Anolis sagrei: one gene and its partners. Each later gene encodes a partner of the first gene's protein in a complex. Links are inferred from orthologs where the notes say so. Each region holds a gene or a part of one and is shown in the gene's direction. Other genes may lie near its edges.

Region 1 (8,317 bases):
TCTGCTATTCGCAAAGTTGCCTGGTTTTAGGGAGAAGATACCACAGTAAGGCCACCAACGAAGCCCACAAGGCACAGGTGAAACCTATTGTGGTACCCCGCAAATCAGACCTATCTGGAAAATAAGCCCTACAACTTGCTGACTGAAAGGCTGCAGGTTCGAATCCAGGGAGAGGCGTGAGCTCCTGCTGTTAGCCCCAGCTTCTGTCAACCTAGCAGTTTGAAAACATGCAAATGTTTGTAGATCAATAGGTACCACTCTGGCGGGAAGGTAACATGCTGGCCACATGGCCTTGGAGGAGTCTATGGACAACACTGGCTCTTTGGCTTAGAAATGGAGATGAGCACCAACCCCCAGAGTTGGACACGACTGGACTTAATGCCATGGGAAAACCTTTACCTTTACCTATGATTTTTCAGGATGCTTGAAATATGAGCCCTAGCCTCAAAAAATAAACCCCAGTTCAGGTCGTTAGGCAGACAGACACATTTAGTACGTCAGTTGCAACACATTATATTAATATATAATGAAATATAAATAATATTCTTGATATCATATTGTGATGACGTTCCAGAAGAAGATGGCATAACTGTATTTGAATAAATATAGGCTTTTGTGCATTAATAATAATAATAATAATAATAATAATAATAATAATAATAATAATTTTATTTCTCACCCACCTCTCCTCATGGCTTGAGGTGGGTTACAGTATAATTAAAACACATAAACATTGTGAAAATTGTATAAATACACACATGAAAATGTATTTCTATAAAATGCATGTTAAAATACACAGAACAGAGATTAAACACAAGGCATGAGTTTAAAATTTATGCTTAAAATTTAGATGGAAAAAAGCCCAAATGCATCTTTTGGAGCAAAAAATTAATTTACGTCCTGGTCTTATTTTCGGGGAAATACAGTAATATGGTCCCTATCTCTCCATTGGGGTCTGAGAATGCATTGGGGTTAGGTTTCAGGACTTCCATGCTCGTGAAATGTGGGCTAGAAAATACTACTGTGAGATGGATTTGTAACTGGTGAAGCGACTGAACCCAAAGGGTGCTCCCCAATGGTTCCCCTTCATCTTGGAATGAAGTGAGTAGTAGAGTGCCATAGAGAGGGTTCTGTCCTGGGCCTTTCAGGGCTGTTCAGTTAATGACTTGGACGAAGGTTTAGAGGGCATGATGATCAAGTTTGCAGATAGTATCAAAGGAGGACAGAGAGTGATTACTCCAGAGGACAGGATCAGAATTCAAAACAACTTTAAATGATGAGAGAGCCGATTGGCCAAAACTAACAGAATGAATTTCAACAAAGAGAGAAATGTAGGACACTTCACTTAGGCAGAAAAAAACAAGATGCACAGATACAGGATGGGTGACACCTGGCTCCACAACACGTGAAAGAGATCTTAGAGTCTTCATCAACAAGCAGGCTTCAGACCAGGGAAAAAACTGTACAGCTCAAATTCTTAACCTGACCGAATATATCAAGGAAGGCTATGAGAAAGGTAGCATTACGGGAGCAGTTTTTGTGGACCTTACAGCAGCCTATGACACGGTGCAACATAGGAAAATGCTGCACAAAATCTACCATACCACCCAGGACTACGATTTTACAAAAACCATCTAGACCCTCCTAGAAAACCATTAGTTTCTATGTGGAGTTTCAGGGCAGGAAAAGTAGATGGAGGAGGCAAAATAATGGTCTACCCTAAAGAAGCGTTCTTTTAATTTATTTATTTACTGTATTTTTATCCTGCTCTATCACCACCCCGAAGGGGACTCAGAGCGGCTTCCAGTTTGGCAATGATTCAATGCCACATAGCAACATAAAAGCAGATAAATATACAACACATTAAATGTTAAAAGCATAATGGACCATATAAATACATTGAAATAACTGATTAAAACCATAGCATCTAATTCCATAGTCATAGTCCAAGCCAATTTGTTTGTATTAACTTTGCAGTGACATATTTATTTACTATATTTCTATCCCACTCTCTACTGGAGATCCCCGTTGGCGCAATGGGTTGAACCAGTGTTTCTCAACATGGGGTGTCGGGACCCCTGGGGGTTGTGAGGGGGGTGTCAGAGGGGTCGCCAAAGACCATCAGAAAACACAGTATGTTCTATTGGTCATGGGGGTTCTGTGTGGGAAGTTTGCAGAGTAATTTTCAACGGTAAGCAAACAGTATTGTGGTGCCTCCCCCCCCCCCCAAACCAATCACTGATATGTATTTTCTGTTCGTTGTGGGAGTTCTGCATGCCATATTTGGTTCAATTCCATCATTGGTGGAGTTCAGAATGCTTTTTGATTGTAGGTAAACTATACATCCCAGTAACTACAACTCGCATATGTCAAGGTCTATTTCCCCCAAGAGCGCCTCAAGAGCGCCCCTGGGCAAAATCAACTATACTGCAAATGCTTACTTTGCATAATGGGTTGAGCCGCCCCTGGAAGTTTGGCCCAATATATCGTTGGTGGGGCTCAGAATGTTGATTGTAAGCAACTACAACTCCCAAATGTCAAGTCTATTTTCTCCAAACTCCACCACTGCTCACATTTGGGCATACTGAGTATTCATGCCAAGTTTGGTCCAGATCCATCATTATTTAGTCCACAGTGTTCTCTGGATGTAGGTGAACTACAACACCAGAATTCAAGGTCAATGCCCACCAAACCTTTCCAGTATTTTCTGTTGGTCAGGGGAGTTATTTGTACCAAGTTTGGTTCAACTCCATTGTTGGTGGAGTTCAGAGTGTGCTTTGATTGTAGGTTAACTATAAATCCCAGCAACTATAATTCCCAAATGACAAAATTAACCTTCCCCAACCCCACCAGTATTCAAATTTGGGTGTATCGGGTATTTGTGCCAAATTTGGTCCAGTGAATGAAAATACATCTGCACATCAGATATTTACATTACGATTCATAACGGTAGCAAAATGACAGTTATGATGTAGCAATGGAAATAATTTTATGGTTGGGGGTCACCACAACATGAGGAACTGTATTAAGGGGCCGCAGCATCAGGAAAGTTGGGAACCATTGGGTTAAACCCTTCTGCTGGGAGGACAGGTAGGAGGTTCGAATCCGGGGAGAGTGCGGATGAGTTCCCTCTGTCAGCTCCAGCTCCCCATGCAGGAACATGAGAGAAACCTCCCACAAGGTTGGTAAAATAGGATTTTTTACACCGAAATTTGACAAAAAAGATAATATCAAAGCCTGGGAGGCAATTGTAAAATAATGGTATTAGCTGCCGAAGCAACTGTGGCATTGGGGTGGAAAGATTATAGAAAATGGGAGGTTAAAAATGCTATGAGTATTTAGCAGAATAAATGCTTCAGGATTATATCCATGAAAAAAGAAGCAAATACACAACATGCCGATTTAAGAAAACTTGGGTGCAGAAATGGGAAAGACTGATCGAAAAAGTGGAAGGAAAAGAAAGATATAATGTGCTAAACCATTCTCTTTTTACAGTTGTTCAATTAAATTAAGATCTGAATTAAGGTGAATACTGTTCCCTGAAGGGGGTGGGGAGGAGGGGGGTAAAACTGTCAGACACAAAGGTAAGGTGAAGGGGAGACAGATAAGAGCATTAGGAAAACAATATGTGATATGTGATATGTATTCATAATGTAATTTAGCAACTGAATTTCTAACAATGATAGTATGTGATGGTACTATTTTTGTGTTGAAAAAAAAAGAATAATAATAAAAAAGAGAAATTAAAAAAAAAGGATGGTAAAACGTCAAACATCTGGGTCTCCCCTGGGCAACGTCCATGCAGACGGCCAATTCTCTCACACCAGAAGTGACTTGTAGTTTCTCAAATAAATAAATAAATAAAAATCTTGCTCTCTCTCACCCTGAAGGGGACTCAGAGTGGCTTACCGTTCGGCAATATTCAATGCCACATATTCAAATAAACATTTTGTACTGTAGGTTCTTGTGGGTTTTTTCGGTCTATAGGGCCATGTTCTAGAGACATTTCTCCTGACGTTTCGCCTGCATCTGTGGCAAGCATCCTCAGAGGTAGTGAGGTCTGTTGGAAATAGGAAAATGGGTTTATATATCTGTGGAATGACTGGGGTGGGGCAAAGAGCTCTCTGCTGAAGCTAGGTGTGAATGTTTCAGCTGACCACCTTCATAAGCATTTGAAGGCCTGGCTGAGCCTGGGAAAATGTTCTGTTGAGAGGTGTTAAGATGTGCCTGGTTGTTTCCTCTCTGCTGTTTTGCTGTAGTAATTTTAGAGTTTGTACTGTGGTTGTGCAACTCCCCAAACACTTGATTCCACAGCCTGATTTTGACTTTCTGAAAGCAGGAGGGAGGAAGCTATCTAATAGCATTGGGGAGGGAGGGAGTTCCATAGTCGAGGGGCCACCACTGAGAAGGCCCTGTTCCTTGTCCCCACCAGTCTCTCCTTGCAGCTGGAGGGGGGGGGGTGACAATGCAATGCCAAAGTCTTGCAAAAGCCCAGTCCTGCCAGTGTGTCTGGCTAACCCCCCCCCCCCAGTTGCACAGCGCCCCCACCGGCGGGGAAGGGAATTGGAAGGCGCGCGCCTCAGGAGGAGAGAAAAAAAAGCGAGGGAACGGCCAGCGGTGGAGTTCTCCTTTGGGCCGGGCAGAGCGTACCACGTGGCGAGGGCTGGGCCAATGAGGGGGCGCGGCGCTCCTGTGGCGCGGCCGCCATGGCTGTCAGAGCGGCGGCGAGTGCGTGAGGAGAAGGGAGGGAAAGAGGCGGCCGGGTGACGAAGGAGGAGGAGAAGGAGGAGGAGGAGGAGGAGGGAGGGAGGGAGGGGGAGGGAGGGAGGGAAAGGAAGAAAAGAACCGAACGCGGCGGCGGCGGCGGCGGCGCTGCTTGAGGGAAGCGGTTGCCGTCGCCAACGGAAGCAGTCCCGGCTTGGGCCTGGAGCCGCTCTCGCCTCAGGCCCGCTCCGACATGCCCCGCTCTGCCGGCGGAGGAGGAGAAGGAGGAGGAGGACCATGAGCGGGCTGGCGAACGGGGCGAGCCTGGAGGACTGTCACGCCAACCTCTTCTCGCTGGTGAGGGAAAGAAGCCGAGGGGAAAGGGAAGCCCAAGGAGAAGGGAAGGGGACTCACTGCCTTCTTTGGCCCTTCCAGCCCTCACATGCCCTGCCTAGGGTGCCCTCTTCAACTGCTGTGCAGACTCCCAACTTTTCCCCACTCGCCGCCCCTTCCGTGCGGAGAAATGCGCCTCTGGCCCCCGGGATATGGAACACCGAGAGGAACCAAGGAGCCCAAACCAGCCTTTGCTGTCTTTGCTGAGACAGGCTGATCCCACCCCCATCCCCCTTTTTTGTGTGTCTCTGTGAAGCATCTTCTGCAGAGTCCACTGTACACTCAGCACTTCTCGATCTCTTCAGAAGCCTTGCTGCTGCCCATTGTATCGCCTCCCTAACATTGAGCTCAGGGACCCCCCCCCCCAAATATTTGGGGTCGGGACAGTTGAAGAAGCAGCGTGGAGACACTCCTGTAATCCAGTTGGATGCAGTTCTCTCTGCATTCCGAAACTGCCTCCTGGAGCAGGGTCGATCCAGCCTTTTTCCGACCCCTTCCACACAGCCGAATAAAATCCCATATTATCTGCTTTCGACTGGAATATATGGCAGCGTGCCCTTCCAGACAGCCATGTAACCCAGTATCTCAAGGCAAAAAATCCCACAAGATCTGCTTTGAACTGGGTTATCTGAGTCTACACTGGCTTATATTCCAGTTCAAAGCAGAAAATGGGGGATTTTATTCAGCTGTGTGGAAGCGGCCTCAGATAAACCAGTTCAAAGGAGATATTGTGGGACTTTTTTCTGTCTTGATATTCTGGGTTATATGGCTGTGTGGAAGGGTCCTTAGATAACCCAGTTCAAAACTGATCTTGTGGATTATGTGCCTTGGTATTCTGGGTTATATGGCTGTGTGGAAGGACCCTTTGACAATCCAGTTCAAAGCAGATCTTGTGAGATTTTCTACCTTGATATTCTGGTTTATATGGCTGTGTGGAAGGGCCCTTAGATAACCCAGTTCAAAGCAGATCTTGTGGACTATTTACCTTGGTAATCTGGGTTATATGGCTGTGTGGAAGGGTCCCTAGAACAGGGTCGATCCAGTCTTTCTCCGGCACAGCGCCCCTCCTTTGTGGTCTGACCCCCCCTTTCCTGGTCTTCCCATGCTTTGCCTTCTCTGCCTTGGAGCCCACCAGCCTCTAATGCATGGGAAGCATGCCCAAAGTTGGGGCCAACCCTGGCTTCCTCTCTCACGTTTTAGCCTCCCTTCTCCTTCCCTGCTCACAGTGCTTTCCAGCCAATGGTTCCCCTCTTCTATTCCATCTTCCTCCCCCAAAAGGGATTTGGGGCCCTTCCACACAGCCATAGAACCCAGGATATCAAGGCAGAAAATCCCACAATAACTGCTTTGAACTGGAATATATGGCAGCGTGGACTCAGATAACCCAGTTTAAAGAAGATATTTTGGGATTTTCTGCCTTGATATCCTGGGTTCTATGGCTGTGTGGAAGGTCCCTGGGAAGGAGTGTCAACCAACCTCCTTTCCCATTGGAACTCAGTGTTCAGGAGAGAACATCTCTCTGGAGCCTTTACTTTCTTTCTGATGTGCTGTTGTGTGTGTGTAATCGTATGTATGTTACCAGAGAAAACATCTCTCTTGAGCCCCTCACTCACTCCTTCCTTCCTCCCTTTCACATGTCAAATGTATTGTCCACAGGTACTATGGAGTGAGTCCTTCCTTCCTTCCTTCCTTCCTTCCTTCCTTCCTTACTTATGTGCATATGTATATTTACAGGTATACACAGAGAGAACCATTTTCCTGAGCCCTTAGCTTCTTTCTGTCTTGTTTTCTCTCTTTCACTTGTGTAAGTATGTTTACATGTTCATATGGAGTGAACATCTCTCTTGAATCCCTCCTTCCTTTTGCATGTATGTGTGTGTGTAGATAGATAGACAGAGAACATCTCTCTTGAGACCCAGACTTCTTTCTTTCTTTCTTTTCTGCCTGCCTGCCTGCCTCCTTTCCAGAGTTGTGGCAACGTGAGCAGGATTTGCACGTGGGGCACCCCTTTTACTTGCTCTTGCTGTTAGTACAAGTAGGTTCTCAGCAGGCTGGAAATCCAAGTGATGAGTTCCACAGTAGTCCTCAGGGCTGGCAATGGACAACTTTCCTTCTGTGCTTGGTTTGAATGGTGCTGCCAGGGTCAGCTGTACCTAGGGATCTTTTCAAAGAAGGTCAGCCCAACTTGAGGCAGGCCAACAATGCTTCTCTGAACATGCTTTCACTGTTCTCCTTCTCTAGCAGGCAGAGGGAAAAGAGGGCTGGGGTTGCATCTTTTTGCTTCCTGGGCCTCCTGTTGAGTGGGTTTATTTAGGGCATTGTTTTGTCCAGATCAACTATGATAACTAATAGCACAGATCATCCTAAGTAGAGCCTAGTGTCAGCCAAAACGGAGCATCCAGAGCAATGGATTCTTTGTGGGGTGGGTTTGGGAAGGAGGGGCCGAACTGCTGTGGTCCCATAAAGCTGCTTTCCCTTTTAATACAAAAAAGCGGGATGGGGAGAATTAGTACAAAAGGATAGGGTAAAACATTGTGAGAGTCCCATGTTGCATTTGAGATTTGAGGGGGTCCTGAAACTGAAGGTAGAAAGCTGCTCTCCATATCTAGTGTATATTTCTGAATGCTTTTTATCTCAAGCAACAATGCTTTTGTGTTTGTAGACGTTCTTATTGGTATATTTCTGTATGATGTCATACAAAATAGAGGTTTTTCCATCCTTTAAAAAAGTAAATAATAATAATAATAATAATAATAATAATAACTTTATTCTTATACCCCGCCACCATTTCCTCAAAGGGACTCAGGGTGGCTTACATGGGACCAAATGTCCATAAGACAATAAAACAATAGTAGATGACATTTTACCAATTTATTTCTAGTTTTTTCATTTTTGCACGATCAGCAACATTTCCCTCTCGAATGGAATTATGTGAAAGCCCTGTTGTTGATACTTGCTTCCTTACTAATTTTACCATGTAACTTTATAATTTCTGGGTTGCAGATGTGGCTACTGGTGGCTTGGTTAGGCCATGCTTTTAGTTTGAAAAGCAACTGTCGTCACACTCAGATTAATTGAAGTTGAATGAAAATGGCCAGGAACTGAAGGGTCACGGGTTAATTTCAGACTGGTTGATGTATGCACTTATGCATGAGTGCATTTGGTATGAAATCTGACTTACTAGCTTTTTAAAATGTCCATCTATATATATAAAAATGCT
Region 2 (8,701 bases), on another chromosome or scaffold:
GTAAAAACAATTGAGTTTAATTTAGTTATAGATAGATTTATTGAGTAATTTAGTGTAATAGATTAATTTAGTTTAATTGAGACCTATAGATAGATAGATAGATAGATAGATAGATATAGATAGAGTAATTGAGTTTAACTGAATATAGATAGAGTTTATTAATATAGATGGAATTTATTATTCATTGATTGTTTTGTAGTATTGATAAGCTGAGCCAAGTCTACCAGGACTTCGTGAATAAATACCCTGTTTATTGTTTAGAATTGAAGTGGACTCAGTTATTCCAGAAAGCTCAATCTGCCTAAAGAAAGACCTCAGCAGTTTCGCCCAGACATAGATAGCAGCACGTCAAAGTTTTATTTTAAAGCGTCTGGGCGTAACGGCACATATACTATTATCGGATTAATTCAAACAGAGGGAGTGGGAAACGTTTGCTTTGCAATAACCAATAAAAATGTGAACTAGAAGAGTGATCAAAATGATCAAAGATCTGGAAACTAAGTCTTATGAGGGTTGATGATGTCCAGCTTTTAGAGAAGACCGAGAGGTGGCCTGGTAGCTAGGCTTAAATATCTGAATGAATACCATGTAGATTGTGAAATAAGCTAGCTTTAAGATGCTCCAGAGACTACAACACAAAACAATAGATTCAAAATAGAAGACAAAATATCCTACCTAAACATTAGGGAGAAATTGATATGCAATGGACTACCTTGGAGGATGAAGGATCTCTTTCAGGGGTGCTTAATTGTGTACTCCTGCATTACAGGGGGTTGGACTATATGGCCCTTGTAGCCACTTCCAACTCTATAAAAGGCAGAATGATATTTTAGGGAAAAATTCACCCAATTATGATTTTTTTTTTTGTGGAGAATGCATATCACGGTGCACAAAATCCAACTCCAAAGGTGCAAAAGTGCAAAAAGGCAAGAGGAAGTCTGTATCTAAAGTCCCATTTCTCCTAGTGTCTAAAGATCTACAGAAACTATCCTTCCATAACCAACTCTAGAGGTCTCACCTATACAGAGTGTGAGGTAAAGCAACCCCATCCGGATGTCAAGGCGGAAAAAAAGGATGACGTTGGCCACTTTGCTGAACATAAAGATATTTCCCACATGCTGGTCCACAGTAACTTGAAAAACAAACACACAAAACAGATGGTTAGCTCAGGTATCTGCATCATCTGTTAGTCCTGTATAGACTACAGTAGGGATGGACATATCTGCCATGTCCAAAGAACAGGTTTTCCCCTAGGGCCTGCTATAGGCTACTCCCAATGAATTGCTTTTAAAAGAAAGTCAATTGAAAGTGACCATTACTTTAATTGCAGATTTATAAAACAACAAAAACACAGGACTTGTTTGGTGCTTTCAGAAGCAGTATTCTAATTCTGAACAACCACTTCCCCACCTGCAGTGATGGTTTACGGCTGGCAAAAAGTAGCTTGAGAAGGCATGTGTAACCAATGTGGTGTCTTCATCCCATCCTATAGCAAGCGAAAACCCTCAATAATCTGAGTTGAGAGCCATCTTATTGTATTTCGTGAAAGGTATCTGCAAGGTGACTCGTATATTATTTTCATTTTGAATCTCAAATTATATAAATACTTTAAGGATGTCATGCAATTGCTGTACTCTTAGCAATTTACCCTCTTGTGTTAAATACCTTTTTGATAAGTTTTTATATTTCCTTCAGGGAAATATAAAAACCCTATCTCCCCCAGGGGAAATAGGGCAGAATATAAATAAAGTTTTATTATTATTTGAAACACAACAAAGTGAGTCCACAGCAAACAAGATCACTCTGCTGGCTGTTGTATTGGATCCACATCGGACACTTCCTAAGTGTCTAGGACTGTGTGATGTATTGGCGAATAAATGCATGCAAATCCCAGTAGCCTTTTTCAGACGGCTGATGGTAATTTTGTCAGTGCCAATAGTGTTTAAGTGCAGGCCAAAGTTGCTAGGCACTGTACTTATTATTATTATTATTATTATTATTATTATTAAACAATTAGGATCATTTGAGTGGACTTACTGGCAGGTTATTTTCATACAAAGAGGTTATTTCACTCTTTTCAGCTACTTCTATTTCATTTAATTTTCCACGCAGTTTCTGTCTTTACTATTCTCTATCAGCTTCAGGACGTCTTTCATTTGACCCGTTCCATAATGCACTAAGCATTGGTTCATGAAAACTTTGCCTTCTGGCTACCTTATCTAGCTATCACAGATAAGATGTCAGAAACAAAAGAAACAGCAAGCATGTTTCAAAGACACTCCTCTGAAAAGAATGTACAGGGGACCTCACTAATAATATATCTAATGCAGAATAACTAGCAACTTAGAAACTTTAGTTTCTGTGTTGATTTACTGTATGGAGATTATCTCATCTCATAAAATTACACACATATCTCATCCTTGATTAGCGATTGTGTGCACTGAATGGACATAGCCAACTTTTTTAAGAAGAAAGAAAAAGCCTTTAATACAGGTAAAAACTCTTTGGAAAAAAATTCACTGTAAACTCTCTGTTGCAACGGAGTATCTTACTCCAGGGAACAATAAATAACAAATGCAAATATTACTAGGAGTTAAATATATTGAAGCCATAGGATCCTTTCTGATTTTGGAAGTTAATCAACAAACAAGGAATGCCAGGTTCTTCGGGCTATATTTCAGAGGAGGGAACTAGCCGAGCTTTCTCCAAGTCTTGCTTTGTCAGAAAAACCTTCCCAAATTCATGCGGTGTTTTAAGTTGATATACAACTTGAAAGTGCACACAAACACACACAAGTATTACTCACTGGATCTGCGGTTCTTCATCATCACAATCGCACTGAGAAACATCAGAATCTCTACCTCCCGCTAAAAGACAGACAATATATTGAAAGGCAGTATGAATACGGGTCTATAGAAGTTGTTTTACCATAAAATAGGCAAAACATTTAATGGCAGACAAAAATTATGTCATTTAAGTTTTGCTTTCTAGCTGGTTAACAAATATTCATATTTTCTGATCTAATAACACAATTGGAGGAAGAAAAAGAACTTTATTTTTCTACCCAGCCTCCATCTCCCCGAAGGGACTCGGGGCAGCTTACATGGGGCCAAGCCCAAGGCAATATACAATTAAAAACAGTACAATAACAAGTTAAAATTGCATAAAACAGCATAAATAATAATAAATTTGGAGGGGGGGGGAGGAAGTCACTATGCAAACTGGTTAATGGATAGGGTGATATAATAGGTGGATAGAAACATATAGTAGCATAGGAAATAGCATGGAAACAGAGCAATTAAACAGGATCAATTTGGCTTAACTTAAAAATATAGTAATGTAATATAGGAATTCAGATTCAGGTCATGATTTAGGTCAGTTAGTAAGGTTTTTAAAAACTATGCCACAAAATCCTGTTTTTATATATGAGAGGACATTGAGGGGACATAATATACAAAGATGCTCGTGTATGTCAATTTGATAATCTTGACAACTATAATTGAAGTCTAATGTCTTGTCTAATTATATCTTGGATTTTAATCAGGAGTAGTTAATATGGGATCTAATGGATACACTTTTTCTGTTCCATCCACCCTTTCATCCTGATAAGGCCAACACTTTTGAGAGCTAAACGTTTCCCGTCATTCCTTCACTTCTCTGAAAGAGAAGAGGAAGGGGCGGAAAAGGGACTTGGGGAGAACCCCCTCCCTTCTGGCCCACCCATCCCCAAGTTAGAAAGTTAGCCCATGCCTGGTCTAACAACTGAAAAATCGATTGCCAAGTATAAATATATGTGAATACCATTTTTTTTTCTTAAAAGACATACATATTACAGTTTTCCCAATGGGTCAGAATCCAATAAGTAATGACCCTAACAGGTCATAATCCTCCATTTGATTATGTGACCAGTGATTATCCAATAGGAATAAGAACAAAAGGGGACGAGGGAGAGGGTCTTCTCTGTGGTGGCCCCTCGACTTTGGAACTCTCTACCCAGAGAGATTAGACAAATGCCCACCCTGGCAGCCTTCAGGAAGAGCCTAAAGCCTTGGTTGTTCCGGTGTGCCTTCGAGGAATGAACATCAAATTCCCATACCTTAACCAACTCTGTACTTTGACGCACAGTATCTTACCCTTTAGTTGAAATTAATTCCCATTGGTTGTCCCATCCGAACCCCACCAGATGCATCACCCTACTTATCCACCTCACCCAGGGTTTTACAGTCCTACCCGTTGTACTTGGCCCTGTCCATCGGCTTAATGTCTTTGCTTATTTTGTTGTACCCTGTGTTTATTTTATATTATTCTCCTTCTTTCTTTCCATGTATTTTATTGTACTTTATTTTATGTATTATTTTATGTATTGTATGTTGTATTCGTTTTGCTTTGTTGTTTATTATTATTATGATTATTATGATGATGATTGGGGGGCGGGAGGATCCATTCCGCGTGGGGAAGCGAAGCTTGTCGCCGTGCAGTCTCCGCCTGAAGGGCGAGGCGCGAAGGAGAAGGCCCGTCCGCCTGAAGGGGCCTGGGGGAGGGCCTCACCCAGTCGAAGTCGCAGGGGTTCCCGTCCTCGCGCTGGGAGGGCAGCCCATGGCACAGCGGCGGCACTTTCCGCACCAGCAGGAAGGCCGCCGAGAGCAGGAGCGAGAGCGGGTAGTAGGGCTGGGCGAGCCAGCGGCAGATCCCCGGCACGGAGTAGAAGAGCGCCAGGAGGGGCGCCAGCACCGCCATCTTCACCTCCCACTGACCGAATCGCCGCACCGCGCGCCAACAGGTCGCCGCTTAGACCGTTCTTTGACACTCATTGGTCGACGGACGCGTCAATCCAAAAAGGGCGGTTCTAAAGGTGACACCTAGCGCTTCGATTGGCCAACTCCGCACACACCAACGGCTACGGAGACTATAAACAAGAGCGCCTCTCTCCGGCGCATTCTATTGACGTTTCGGCGCCCCGTAAAATTGCATCAAGGGGAAGTGTTGGAACCACCCAATCAGAGCAAAGTCGGGTTTCCAGGGGAGCTAGCCAATCATAGCTAGGAGGCGGGTTCAGAGACCGCCAATGAAATCGGGGCAAGCGCATGGGATTGCCAAGACGCGGAGCCAATAGGTGGAGACTGCGCGAAGCACGCCGGGATGATGGAGAATTTTTCCGCTCTCTTCGGGGCGAGCGAACCTCCTCCGCCAGTTGCGGCTGCTGCGCTGGGCTTCGGCCCGGGGAAAGCGGGCGGGCCCGTGACGGGGCCCTCTCCCGTGCCGGCCGTGGCTCCCATCGGAGAAGAGGCGGCGCGCAAGGCCGCGGCCGCCAGTGGGCCCTTCTACCTGATGCGGGAGTTGCCAGGTAGGGGCCGAGGGAGGGCGGGAGGGAGGCGGGCCCGGGAGGCCCTTTAAGCCAACCAGAAAGGGAGGCGGGCCTTGTGCTCTCAGCCAATGCGGGTTGGCCTTCGTGATGGCGTCAGGAGGGAGCCGTCCAATCGGTGGCCCAGTTGCCCCAGGTGGGCTTCTCCCTCTTCTGTGGGGATTTAATCTCACCAACGGTTAGGCGAGAAGTGATGGGCAGATGGCAGAGCGAATGAGGGAGCAGGGGACCTGGGGGCGGAGCCGAGCTCCTATTTTCTGGCTGGACTTGGCGCTGTAAGACCGGAAGTTAGAGAAGTTCATTGTTGAGAACGTGAGGTCGAGTCTCCCTCGCTGTTTACCCGAATCGAGGACACGTCTGCACGTGAACAGCCCTGGCTCCATTATTATTATTAAACTTTATTTGTACCCCGCTAGCATCTCCCGAAGGATTCGATGCGGCTTACACAGGCCAAGGCCTCTACACACAACATAACAATACAATCTAAGCAAATCAATTAAAAACAGAAAAGCAAAGTAAACCACAGGCACAATACACTAAAACACAATAAAACTGGGCCGGGCCAGAAGGTGGGTACAAAGATTAAAAGTGCTGATGTGACAGGAGGTGTATAAAGGGCGTGATTCCAATGCTGTGGAATCATGGGACTTGTAGTTTAACAAGGTCGTTTGCTATGGGTGCCTCACCAAACTACAAGTCTCAGGATTCCATAGCATTGAGCCCTGGCAGTTCTGGTGTGCCTTCGAGGAGTGAACATCATTCCTCGAAGTTGTCAAACTGCATTCATTTTGGGTTGTTGTAGGTTTTTTCGGGTTATATGGCCATGTTCTAGAGGCATTTTCTGCTGACGTTTCGCCTGCATCTATGGCAAGCATCCTGAGAGGTAGTGAGGTGCATTCATTTTACAGTGTAGGTGGGCCCTGGAAGGTACTTGTTCCTGACCTTAAAGCTTTGTGGTATTTGATCAGTATGTTTACTTGTATTTTGTTATATTCCATGTATGCATTTAAATCCTTCAAAAGTGAAGATTTTTGACCGACACGACAACATTTAGGGCCCTTCCACACAGCCATATAACTCTGAATATCAAGGTAGAAAAATCCCATAATATCTGCTTTGAAATGGGTTATCTGAGTCCACACTGCCATATATCCAAAACAGATAATGTGGGATTTTATTCAGCTGCGTGGAACAAGCCTCAGGCTACACTAATATAATCCAGCTCAAAGTACATAATCTTGATTTTTTACAGCTGTGTAGAAGGGTGCCTAAAGTCCCTTCCACACAGCTGAATAAAATCTAACAATATTTGCTTTGAACTGGGATATATGGAAGTGTGGACTCAGATAGCCCAGTTCAAAGGAATATTGTGGGTTATTCTTCCTTGATATTCTGGGTTATATGGCTGTGTGGAAGGGCCCTATGTTGCAGCAAAAACAACAACCAAAAATTTGAAGCAGATAATCTGGATTTTATACAGCTGTGCAGGAGGGGTCTTAGAAGACAAATCAACATAGACTTTCAGAATACAAAATACTTTGAAATTGTCCACATGGCTGGCAGAGATAGTGATAGCCTTTTAGTACACACAACCATCATAGAAAACACTATTTGAAATATTGTGTATAAAATACATTCAAACTAGAAATAAGAGGTATATATGAAACATAAGTGAATTTCATGTTTAGACCCATTCCTAGGATGTCTTATAATATACATACTTGCAAATAATAATAATAATAATACATCTTTATGTATATCCCACTTTTCTCCCACGAAGGGACCCAACATGTTAACATGCAGTAAAATAAAATACAATAGTAAATACGCAACAGTCAGTGACACAAATGTAAAACATAATAAGCAATCCATAAAATAAACATAAGCAAGCATTTAAAACTAGTATATATTATTGTGGGAATACAGGTTTTCTCAAAACACTTCTGTCCCCAAGCATTTCAGTTAGCAGATGCTCAACCTGTACTACTTTACCCTGTGGAATGGGGAGCAGGAGTTGGGTGCTTCATTCTGTACCTATTGCATGCTTTTTTCTTTTGAAGTTCTACTGACTTTTGGGAAGTTTGTTTTAAAATAAGTAGAGTCATCCCTCTACTTATATGGGACTTAGGGAAACAGCGAAAGTGGAAAAAAGTCAACATCTTTAATAGGGAAGGGAAATAGGGCACCAATGCTGAGATCCCACCCTTCCTCTATGGTGCAAGTCTATTGTCCAGGTAAAGGGAGAATATACTGGGCAGATCAGAAACATGGGAGAGATGGAAGGAGAAATCAGTCCCAGTGGATCTGGCTCTTCCTCTTTCTGTGTGTTCTCCTCCTCCCCCTTATTTTCCTTTCCCTGGGCATAACGAATATTCACAGAATACAGGAAAAGAAAATTATACGTGGGGAATGTGGAGTGGTGTGAGGTGAGCTCCTTCTTTTGCCTGTGCAACACAAGTGTGTTTCCCTCAGAAAAGGGAGATACTGGGTGAAACACAAACTAAATTCCTGAAGATGTGGCTGTCATATGAATGTTCAAAAGAGAGCTTCAGGATGCAGTGATGCTTTAAACTCTCAAAGAGTCAAAGCCGTGCATGAGAAATGTGCATCAACTTCTCTATACTCTTCCAGCTCCCACAGCCCTATGTCCCAGAATATCTGTTTTGAACTGAGTTGTCTGAGTCCACACTCAGATAATGTGGGATTTTCTGCCTTGATATTCTGGAATATAGGGCTGTGTGGAAGGGCCCTAAGTGTTGTTGCAACTCCTATCCTTTAACTATTAATGATGCTAGGTAAGCCTGATGAGAATTGCAGTCCTAGAATATTTGGAAGACTGCAAGTTGCACACTGAGTATGGATGTTACTAATTAATGTTTATTAGCATCCTTACTGGGAAGTAAGCTTTCAGAAAGACTTGAGAAACATGCATGAAAAGGCAGAGTGTGACTTCTTAAGAAGATGTCCCAACTTATCTTTGGCAGGATTGCAAAGTTGTTGTTTTTAAATTCCTTATCAGGAACCACTGAACTCACAGGAAGCACAAACCTGATTACCCACTACAACCTGGAGCATGCTTACAACAAATTTTGTGGGAAAAAGGTGAAGGAAAAGCTCAGTAACTTTCTGCCAGACCTGCCAGGGATGATTGACTTGCCAGGATCTCATGACAACAGCAGCCTGCGCTCCCTCATTGAGAAGCCTCCCATCTGTGGAAGCTCATTCAACCCCATCACTGGCACAATGCTAACAGGATTTCGGCTCCATGCAGGACCGGTGAGTTAGAGCTTGGCGGTGAAGGAAAGTGTGGAAGGGGAAGCCTTGACTGTCAGTGGGGGA
Region 3 (7,899 bases), on another chromosome or scaffold:
GGCACACAGAACCCGAATTACCATCAAAAAATATGGGAGGTCTTTGGAGAAAATTCATCTTGATTTGAGGGAGTTGTAGTTCACCTAATTTAGAGAGCACTGTGAACCCAAACACCAATGGATCTGGACCAACCTTGGCACGCATACCTGATACGGCCAAATTTGATTCCTGGAGGGGTTTAGGGGAGGATAGACCTTGAATTTTGGGAGTTGTAGTTCACCTACAACCAGAGAAACTGTGATCCCCCCACCGACAACGGACCTGAATCAAACTTGACACACAGAACCCCTATGACCAACTGAATATACTGGAGGGGTTTGCGGGAAACTGACCATAATTTCTGGGAGTTGTAGTTCACCTACAACCAGAGACACTGTGACCACCAGTGACAATAAACTGGGACCAAACTTGACACACAGACGAATTGAACCAACTGTGGGGTTTTGAGAGGATTGACTTATCATGGTGGGAGTTGTAGTTTACCCTGCAGCCAAAGAACACACTGAACCCCACTGATGGTACATATGGAGCAAACTTGCCCAACATAACAAACCTGAAGTACTGATGGAGTTTCAGGGGGTTAACCTGGCACGATGGGAGTTGTAGTTCACCCACAACCTTATGCATATTGGACAATTAAAAATCTGACTTTTTCAAATAGCCTGGGCAACACCAAGTACACAGGCTAGTGTGTGTGTGTATGTGTGTATATATCTTGTATATATATCTTTGGGGAAGAATTCGCTTGTTGTACCTCTACATTGTCACTTTTTTGTACACATGTATTTTATACTGTGGTCAACAGTGCTGGCATGCCCGCATGTTGTTGATTCTATAACAGAGTTAGGAGCCAATAGGAATTTGAACAAGGATCACAATTGGCCCCCAGACCGGGCTTTGGACATGCCTGGCAGTCTTTCTCCCATTAAGGTCATACCTGAACATTAAGAAGAACGTTTCGTTGGAAAGAAGAGCTGTTCGGCACTGGAGTCTCTGTCACAGAGTCCCCTTCTCTGGAGGCTTTGAAGCAGAGGCTGGACGGCTGGACGGCTTTGAAGCAGAGGCTTTGACTGTGCCCTCCTCCATAGTAGAATGGGGTTGGACTGGATAGCCCTTGGGGGTTCCTTCCAACTAGAGGATCTCAGAATTCCATAGCCATACTTCTCCATAAACTTGCTAATATCTCTGAGGTTAAATGGCCACGGGTCGGGAGGGATGGCATCTTCCTTCAATAATAATAATAATAATAATAATATTAATAATAATAATAATAATTGCACACATTATTCGCCGATACATCACACAGTCCTAGACACTTGTGAAGTGTCCGATGTGTGATCCAATTCAACCGCCAGCAGAGTGTCTGCTGTGGTCTCATTTAGTTTTGTTTCAAATAATAATAATAATAATAATAATTATTATTATTATTATTATTATTAATATAATAGTAATATTATTTTCTTTCCTGGAAGAGTGGGTTGGACTGGATGGCCCTCGGGGTCCCTTTCAATTCTAGGAGAATAATAATAATAATAATAATAATAATAATAATGGATAATATAATAGTAAAGGTAAAGGTTTCCCCCTGACATTAAGTCCAGCCATGTCCGACTCTGGGGGTTGGTGCTCAACTTCCTTTCTAAGCCGAAAAGTCGGCGTTGTCTGTAGACACCTCCAAGGTCATATGGCCGGCATGACTGCATGGAGCACCGTTACCTTTCCACAGAAGCGGTACCTATTGATCTACTCACATTTGTATATTTTCAAACTGTTAGGATGGCAGAAGTTGGGGCTGACAGCGGGAGCTCACGCCCCTCCCCAGATTTGAACCTGTGACCTTTTGGTCGCAGTAATTCAATAATAATAACAGATAATATTAAATAGTAATTGTATCTTCCTGTCTGGCAGAGGGGGGATAGACTGCATGGCCCTTTGGAGTCCCTTCCAACTCCAGGAGTTTAATAATAATTACATAATAGACAATAATATAATAGTAATCCAATAATAATAATTGATAATAATGAATGATAATATAATAATAATTCTATTTTCCTTCCTGGCAGAAAGGGGTAGGACTGCATGGCCCTTTGGGGTCCCAACTTTAGGAGTCTAATAATAATAATTATATAATGAATAATAATATAATAGTAATCCAATAATAATAGTAATTATTATTATTATTATTATTATTATTATTTATGGCTTGTAGGTTTTTTCGGGCTATATGGCCATGTTCTAGAGGCATTCTCTCCTGATGTTTTGTCTACATCTATGGCAAGCGTCCTCAGAGGTTGTGAGGTCCCAACCTCTAAGGACACTTGCAATAGATGCAGGCGAAGCATCAGGAGGGAATGCCTCTAGAACATGGCCATATAGCCCGAAAAAATCTACAACAACCCAGTGATTCCAGCCATGAAAGCCTTCGACAATACGGTAATAATTTATAATAGTGAATAATAATATAAGAGTAATTCTATTTTCCTTCCTGGCAGATGGGGGAACTGCATGGCCCTTGGGGGATCCCTTCCAACTCCAGGAGTCTAATGATGATAATGCAGGGGTCCTCAAACTTTTAAAACAGAGGGCCAGGTCACAGTCCCCCAAACTGTTGGAGGGCCAGATTATAATTTGAAAAAAACATGAATGAATTCCTTTGCACACTGTATATATCTTATTTGTAGTGCAAAAAACAGTTAAAAACAATACAATAATTTTAAAAAATAATTAAAACGAACATTTTAAACAAATTTTAACAAATTTTAACAAATGTAGTATTTCAGTGGGAAGTGTGGGCCTGCTTTTGGCTGATGAGATAGGGTTGTTGTTGTGTGCTTTCAAGTCGTTTCAGACTTGGGTTGACCCTGAGCGAGGGCCAGGTAAATGACCTTGGAGGGCCGTATTCGGACCCCGGGCCTTAGTTTGAGGACCTCTGATATAATGGATAATAATATAATAGTAATCCAATAATAATAATAATAAGATAATTAAGAATACTAATATAATAGTAATTCTATTTTCCTTCCTGGCAGAAGGGGTTGGACTGCATGGCCCTTGGGGGTCCCTTCCAACTCTAGGTGTCTGATAGGCCTTTGATCTTTGATATTACTGTCTTTAAAATTTTTTTTAAATTGTTTTTAAATTGTGTTAGATTTTAGCCTGTTCTTGTAAGCCGCTCCGAGCTCCAGGGGAGTGGCGGCATATAAGTTTGAATAATAAATAAATTAAATAAAATTAATAATAATAATAACAGTAAAATAATTTTAAAAATTAATGGATAATATGCTTGGCAGAAGTGCATTGGACTGGATAGCCCTTTGGGGATCCCTTCCATCTCTAGAAGTCTAATAATGATGATGATGCATAGATAATAATATTATCTTTCTGCTCCTCCCTTCCAACTCTAGGATACAAAGATTCTAGGATAGGCCGGATGGCCATCTGTTGAGAGGGGTCGGATCGTGTCTTCAATGGCAGGATGGGGTTGGGCTGAATGACCTTCCAATTATAGGATTCTATCTACTTATCTATTTATCTATTAGGGGTTGGGCTGGATGCCCTTAGGGAGTCCCAATTATAGGATTCTATCTATCTATTTATCTATTAAGGGTTGGACTGGATGGCCTTTGTGGGTCCCTTCCAACTCTAGGATTCTATCTATCTACTTATCTATTTATCTACTAGGGGTTGGACTGGATGGCCTTTGTGGGTCCCTTCCAACTCTAAGATTCTATCTATCTACTTATCTATCCTTTAGGGGTTGGACTGGATGGCCTTTTTGGGTCCCTTCCAACTCTAGGATTCTATCTATCTACTTATCTATTTATCCTTTAGGGGTTGGACTGGATGGCCTTTGTGGGTCCCTTCCAACTCTATAGTTCTCTATCTATGTTTCATTCCATACAAATCTATCTCCTTCTCTGCAGGCTTTCAAGCTGAGGCTGAGTGGCCCTCTGTCGAGAGGGATTAGATGGTGCCTTCAATGCCTCGACTAGATGGTTTTGGGTTCCTCTTGACGGCCTCCTTGGACGCTTCAGGACCATAATGCAGACGGGGAGGGAGTGGGGAGAGCCAGTCCCGCTTCAAAAAGCAAAGGAAGACAAGGCCTCTCCGTTGCCTAGGCGACGACAACATGGCCGCCCTCCTCCTCTCCCTCCAAGAGCGCAGGTCCGGGGGGCGGGGCCTAAACCCGCCAATGGGAGGCCTTACTTTCGGAGAGGGCGCCGTCGCCATGGATACCGGACCCTCGAGTGCGCAGGCGCGGGGGGCTCCAGCCGCCATATTTTTGCGGCCTAGCGTTCGGAAGGCAGGCCTCTTCTCGGCGTCGCCATGGAGACCGGTGAGACTAGCACGGGGAAAGGGCTTCCTGGGGATTGTGGGAATGGCGCCTCATTGACCTTCCTTCCTTGTGGTTTTGTTCCTAGAGGACGGCGGGAACCGCCTGCGCTTCCAGATGGAGCTGGAGTTCGTGCAGTGCCTGGCCAACCCCAACTACCTCAACTGTGAGTCCCATTGGTACCCACTGAAGGAGGAATGAATAGGTTCTTGTGGGTTTTTTCGGGCTATAGAGCCATGGTCTAGAGGCATTCTCTCCTGACGTTTCGCCTGCATCTATGGCAAGCATCCTCAGAGGTAGTGAGGTCTGTTGGAAATAGGAAAATGGGTTTATATATCTGTGGAATGGCTGGGGTGGGGCAAGGAGCTCTTCTCTGCTAGAGCTAGGTGTGAATGTTTCAACTGACCACCTTCATTAGCATTTGAAGGATTGCCTGAGCCTGGGAAAATCTCCTGCTGAATCTCCCAGGCTCAGGCAGGCCTTCAAATGCTAATGAAGGTGGTCAGTTGAAACATTCACACCTAGCTCCAGCAGAGAAGAGTTCTTTGCTCCACCCTGGTCATTCCACAGATATATAAACCCTTTTTCCCAGTTCGAACAGACCTCACTACCTCTGAGGATGCTTGCCATAGATGCAGGCGAAACGTCAGGAGAAATGCCTCTAGAACATGGCCATATAGCCCGAAAAAACCCACAAGAACCTAGTGATTCCAGCCATGAAAGCCTTAGACAATACGAGGAATGAATAGGTGAATTAATCAAGCAAGGCCAAGCTGTACTCTCCCAGGAGATTGGCTTGCTAGATAATCAGTGGCGCAGGTGGATGGGAACACGTTGTTCCCTCCCCTTGGGCCTGGTCAAGAACTGGCCATTGTGTCTGACTTGATTTGTGTTCCTTTTCCTCCTTCCAGTTCTGGCCCAGAGGGGCTTCTTCAAGGACAAGGCCTTTGCCAATTACCTCAAGTACCTGCTGTACTGGAAGGAGCCCGACTACGCCAAGTTCCTCAAGTAAGAGCCTTTCTTTGGCAGGAAACATTGTGATCATGTTTATTGACACCCAGCTTATTCTTTCGAATCTGGGGAGAGGCGGATGAGCTCCCTCTATCGCAGTGTTTCTCAACCTGGGGGTCGGGACCCCTAGAGAGGTCGCCAAGGGGTGCCAGAGGGGTCACCAAAGACCATCAGAAAACACAGTATTTTCTATGGGTCATGGGGGTTCTGTGTGGGAAGTTTAGCCCAATTCTATCATTGGTGGGGTTCAGAATGCTTTTTGATTGTAGGTGAACTATAAATCCCAGAAAACTACAACTCCCAGATATCAATGCCTATTTTCCCCAAACTCCACCAGTGTTCACATTTAGCATACTGAGTATTTGTGCCAAGTTTGGTCCAGATATAGTGCTCTCTGTAGGTGAACTACAACTCCCAAACTCAAGGTCAAATGCCCACCAAACTCTTCCAGTGTTTTCTGTTGGTCATGGGCATTCTGTATGCCAAGTTTGGTTCAATTCCATCGTTGGTGGAGTTCAGAATACTCTTTGATTGTAGGTGAACCATGAATCCCAACAACTACAACTCCCAAATTATGTTTCATAACAGGAGTAAAATTACAGTTATGAAGTAGCAAAAAAATAATAATATTATGGTTGGGGGTCACCACAACATGAGGAACTGTATTAAAGGGTCGTGGCATTAGGAAGGTTGAGAAACATTGCTCTATCGACTCCAGCTCCTCATACGGGGACATGAGAGAAGCCTCCCACAAGGATGATAAAAACATCAAATCATCCGGGTGTCCCCTGGGCAACGTCCTTGCAGACGGCCAATTCTCTCACAGCAAAAGTGACTTGCAATTTCTCAAGTCGCTCCTGACAAGAAAAAAAAAAAAGCTTATTCTTTCCATAAGGGACTCAAAGCATGACGGCTTCAAACTACAAGAAAGGAGATTCCATCTGAACATGAGGAAGAACTTCCTGACTGTGAGAGCCGTTCAGCAGTGGAACTCTCTGCCTTGGAGTGTGGTGGAGGCTGCTTCTTTGGAGGTTTTTAAACAGAGGCTAGATGGCCATCTGTCAGGGGTGCTTTGAATGCAATATTCCTGCTTCTTGGCAGAATGGGGTTGGACTGGATGGCTTATGAGGTCTCTTCCAACTCTATGATTCTATGGCACAATCTGAAATACACAAATATTAAACAGTATTAAACATCATTAGAGAGGATTGATGGAGATACGGAGTCACATTAATGCCTATATTATTATAATTATATTATTATATTATATATTATTAAATGTGACTAGATCCCAGTGGGAAGTTAACCACGTTCCATGCAGTCATGCTGGCCACATGACCTTGGAGGTGTCTACAGACAATGCTGGCTCTTCGGCTTAGAAATGGAGATGAGCACCAACCCCAGAGTTGGACACAACTGGACTTAATGTCAAGGGACAACCTTTACCTATATATTATTATATTATATTATATTATCAAGCCCTGTTGTACTGGAAGGAGCCCGGCTACACCAAGTTCCTCAAGTAAGAGCCTTTCTTTAGCAGGAAACATTGTGATCATGTTTGTCGACACCCAGCTTATTCTTTCCATAAGGGGACTCAAAGCATGACAACACAATCTGAAATACACAAATATCAAAAAAGTATTAAACATCATTAGAGAGGTTTGATGGAAATACGGAGTCACATTCATGCCTATATTATTATAATTATATTATTATATTATTTATTATAAAATGTGGGTAGATCAATAGGTACCACTCCAGTGGGGAGTTAACAGCGTTCATAGAATCAAAGAGTTGGAAGAGACCTCATGGGCCATCCAGTCCAACCCCCTGCCAAGAAGTAGGAATATTGCATTCAAATCACCCCTGACAGATGGCCATCCAGCCTCTGTTTAAAAGCTTCAGAAGGGAGGCCTCTTCTCGGTATTCCAAAGAAGGAGCCTCCACCACACTCCGGGGCAGAGAGTTCCACTGCTGAATGGCGCTCACAGTCAGGAAGTTCTTCCTCATATTCAGATGGAATCTCCTCTCTTGTAGTTTGAAGCCATTGTTCCTCGTCCTAGTCTCCAGGGAAGAAGAAAACAAGCTTGCTCACTCCTCCCTGTGGCTTCCTCTCACTGTTCCATTCAGTCATGCTGGCCACATGACCTTGGAGGTGTCTATGGACAATGCTGGCTCTGTCTTTGGCAGGAAACATTATGATTATGTTTATCAACACCCAACTTATTATTTCCATAAGGGGATTCAAAGCATGACGGCACAATCTGAAATGCACAAATATTAAAAAGTATTAAACATCATTGGAGAGGATTCATGGAGATATGGAGTCACATTTATTTATTTATTTATTTATTTATTACTTTACTTGTATACCGCAGTTTCTCAGCCTAACAGGCGACTCAATGCGGTTTACAGCAAGGATAAAAATCAACAACGATATACAATTTAAAACCACAAGAGCATAATATACAATATTAACACAACAATAGACAACACAATGCATCTCATAACTAGAATCATGATCCAATTCGTCATCCAATTTTCCAGTTCC

Evidence for each region. Proteins that work in one complex are often made in the same cells at the same time.
Region 2: MED13L (region 1) and MED19 share a complex: the UniProt entries of both Homo sapiens proteins name them as parts of the mediator complex. The link is inferred for Anolis sagrei from reciprocal best matches to the Homo sapiens genes MED13L and MED19.
Region 3: MED13L (region 1) and MED31 share a complex: the UniProt entries of both Homo sapiens proteins name them as parts of the mediator complex. The link is inferred for Anolis sagrei from reciprocal best matches to the Homo sapiens genes MED13L and MED31.

Annotation. Positions count from the first base shown.
Region 1 is NC_090034.1:43,697,955-43,706,271, forward strand, and holds the start of MED13L (mediator of RNA polymerase II transcription subunit 13-like), read left to right. Parts: upstream 1-4,844; 5' UTR 4,845-5,001; coding exon 5,002-5,061; intron 5,062-8,317. UniProt on the Homo sapiens protein: Component of the Mediator complex, a coactivator involved in the regulated transcription of nearly all RNA polymerase II-dependent genes.
Region 2 is NC_090021.1:234,310,954-234,319,654, reverse strand, and holds the start of MED19 (mediator of RNA polymerase II transcription subunit 19), read left to right. Parts: upstream 1-5,042; 5' UTR 5,043-5,139; coding exon 5,140-5,344; intron 5,345-8,381; coding exon 8,382-8,638; intron 8,639-8,701. Other genes in the region: TMX2 (thioredoxin-related transmembrane protein 2), read right to left, coding at 1,019-1,132, 2,807-2,867, 4,549-4,737. UniProt on the Homo sapiens protein: Component of the Mediator complex, a coactivator involved in the regulated transcription of nearly all RNA polymerase II-dependent genes.
Region 3 is NC_090031.1:29,645,126-29,653,024, forward strand, and holds the start of MED31 (mediator of RNA polymerase II transcription subunit 31), read left to right. Parts: upstream 1-4,240; 5' UTR 4,241-4,327; coding exon 4,328-4,337; intron 4,338-4,422; coding exon 4,423-4,500; intron 4,501-5,245; coding exon 5,246-5,342; intron 5,343-7,899. UniProt on the Homo sapiens protein: Component of the Mediator complex, a coactivator involved in the regulated transcription of nearly all RNA polymerase II-dependent genes.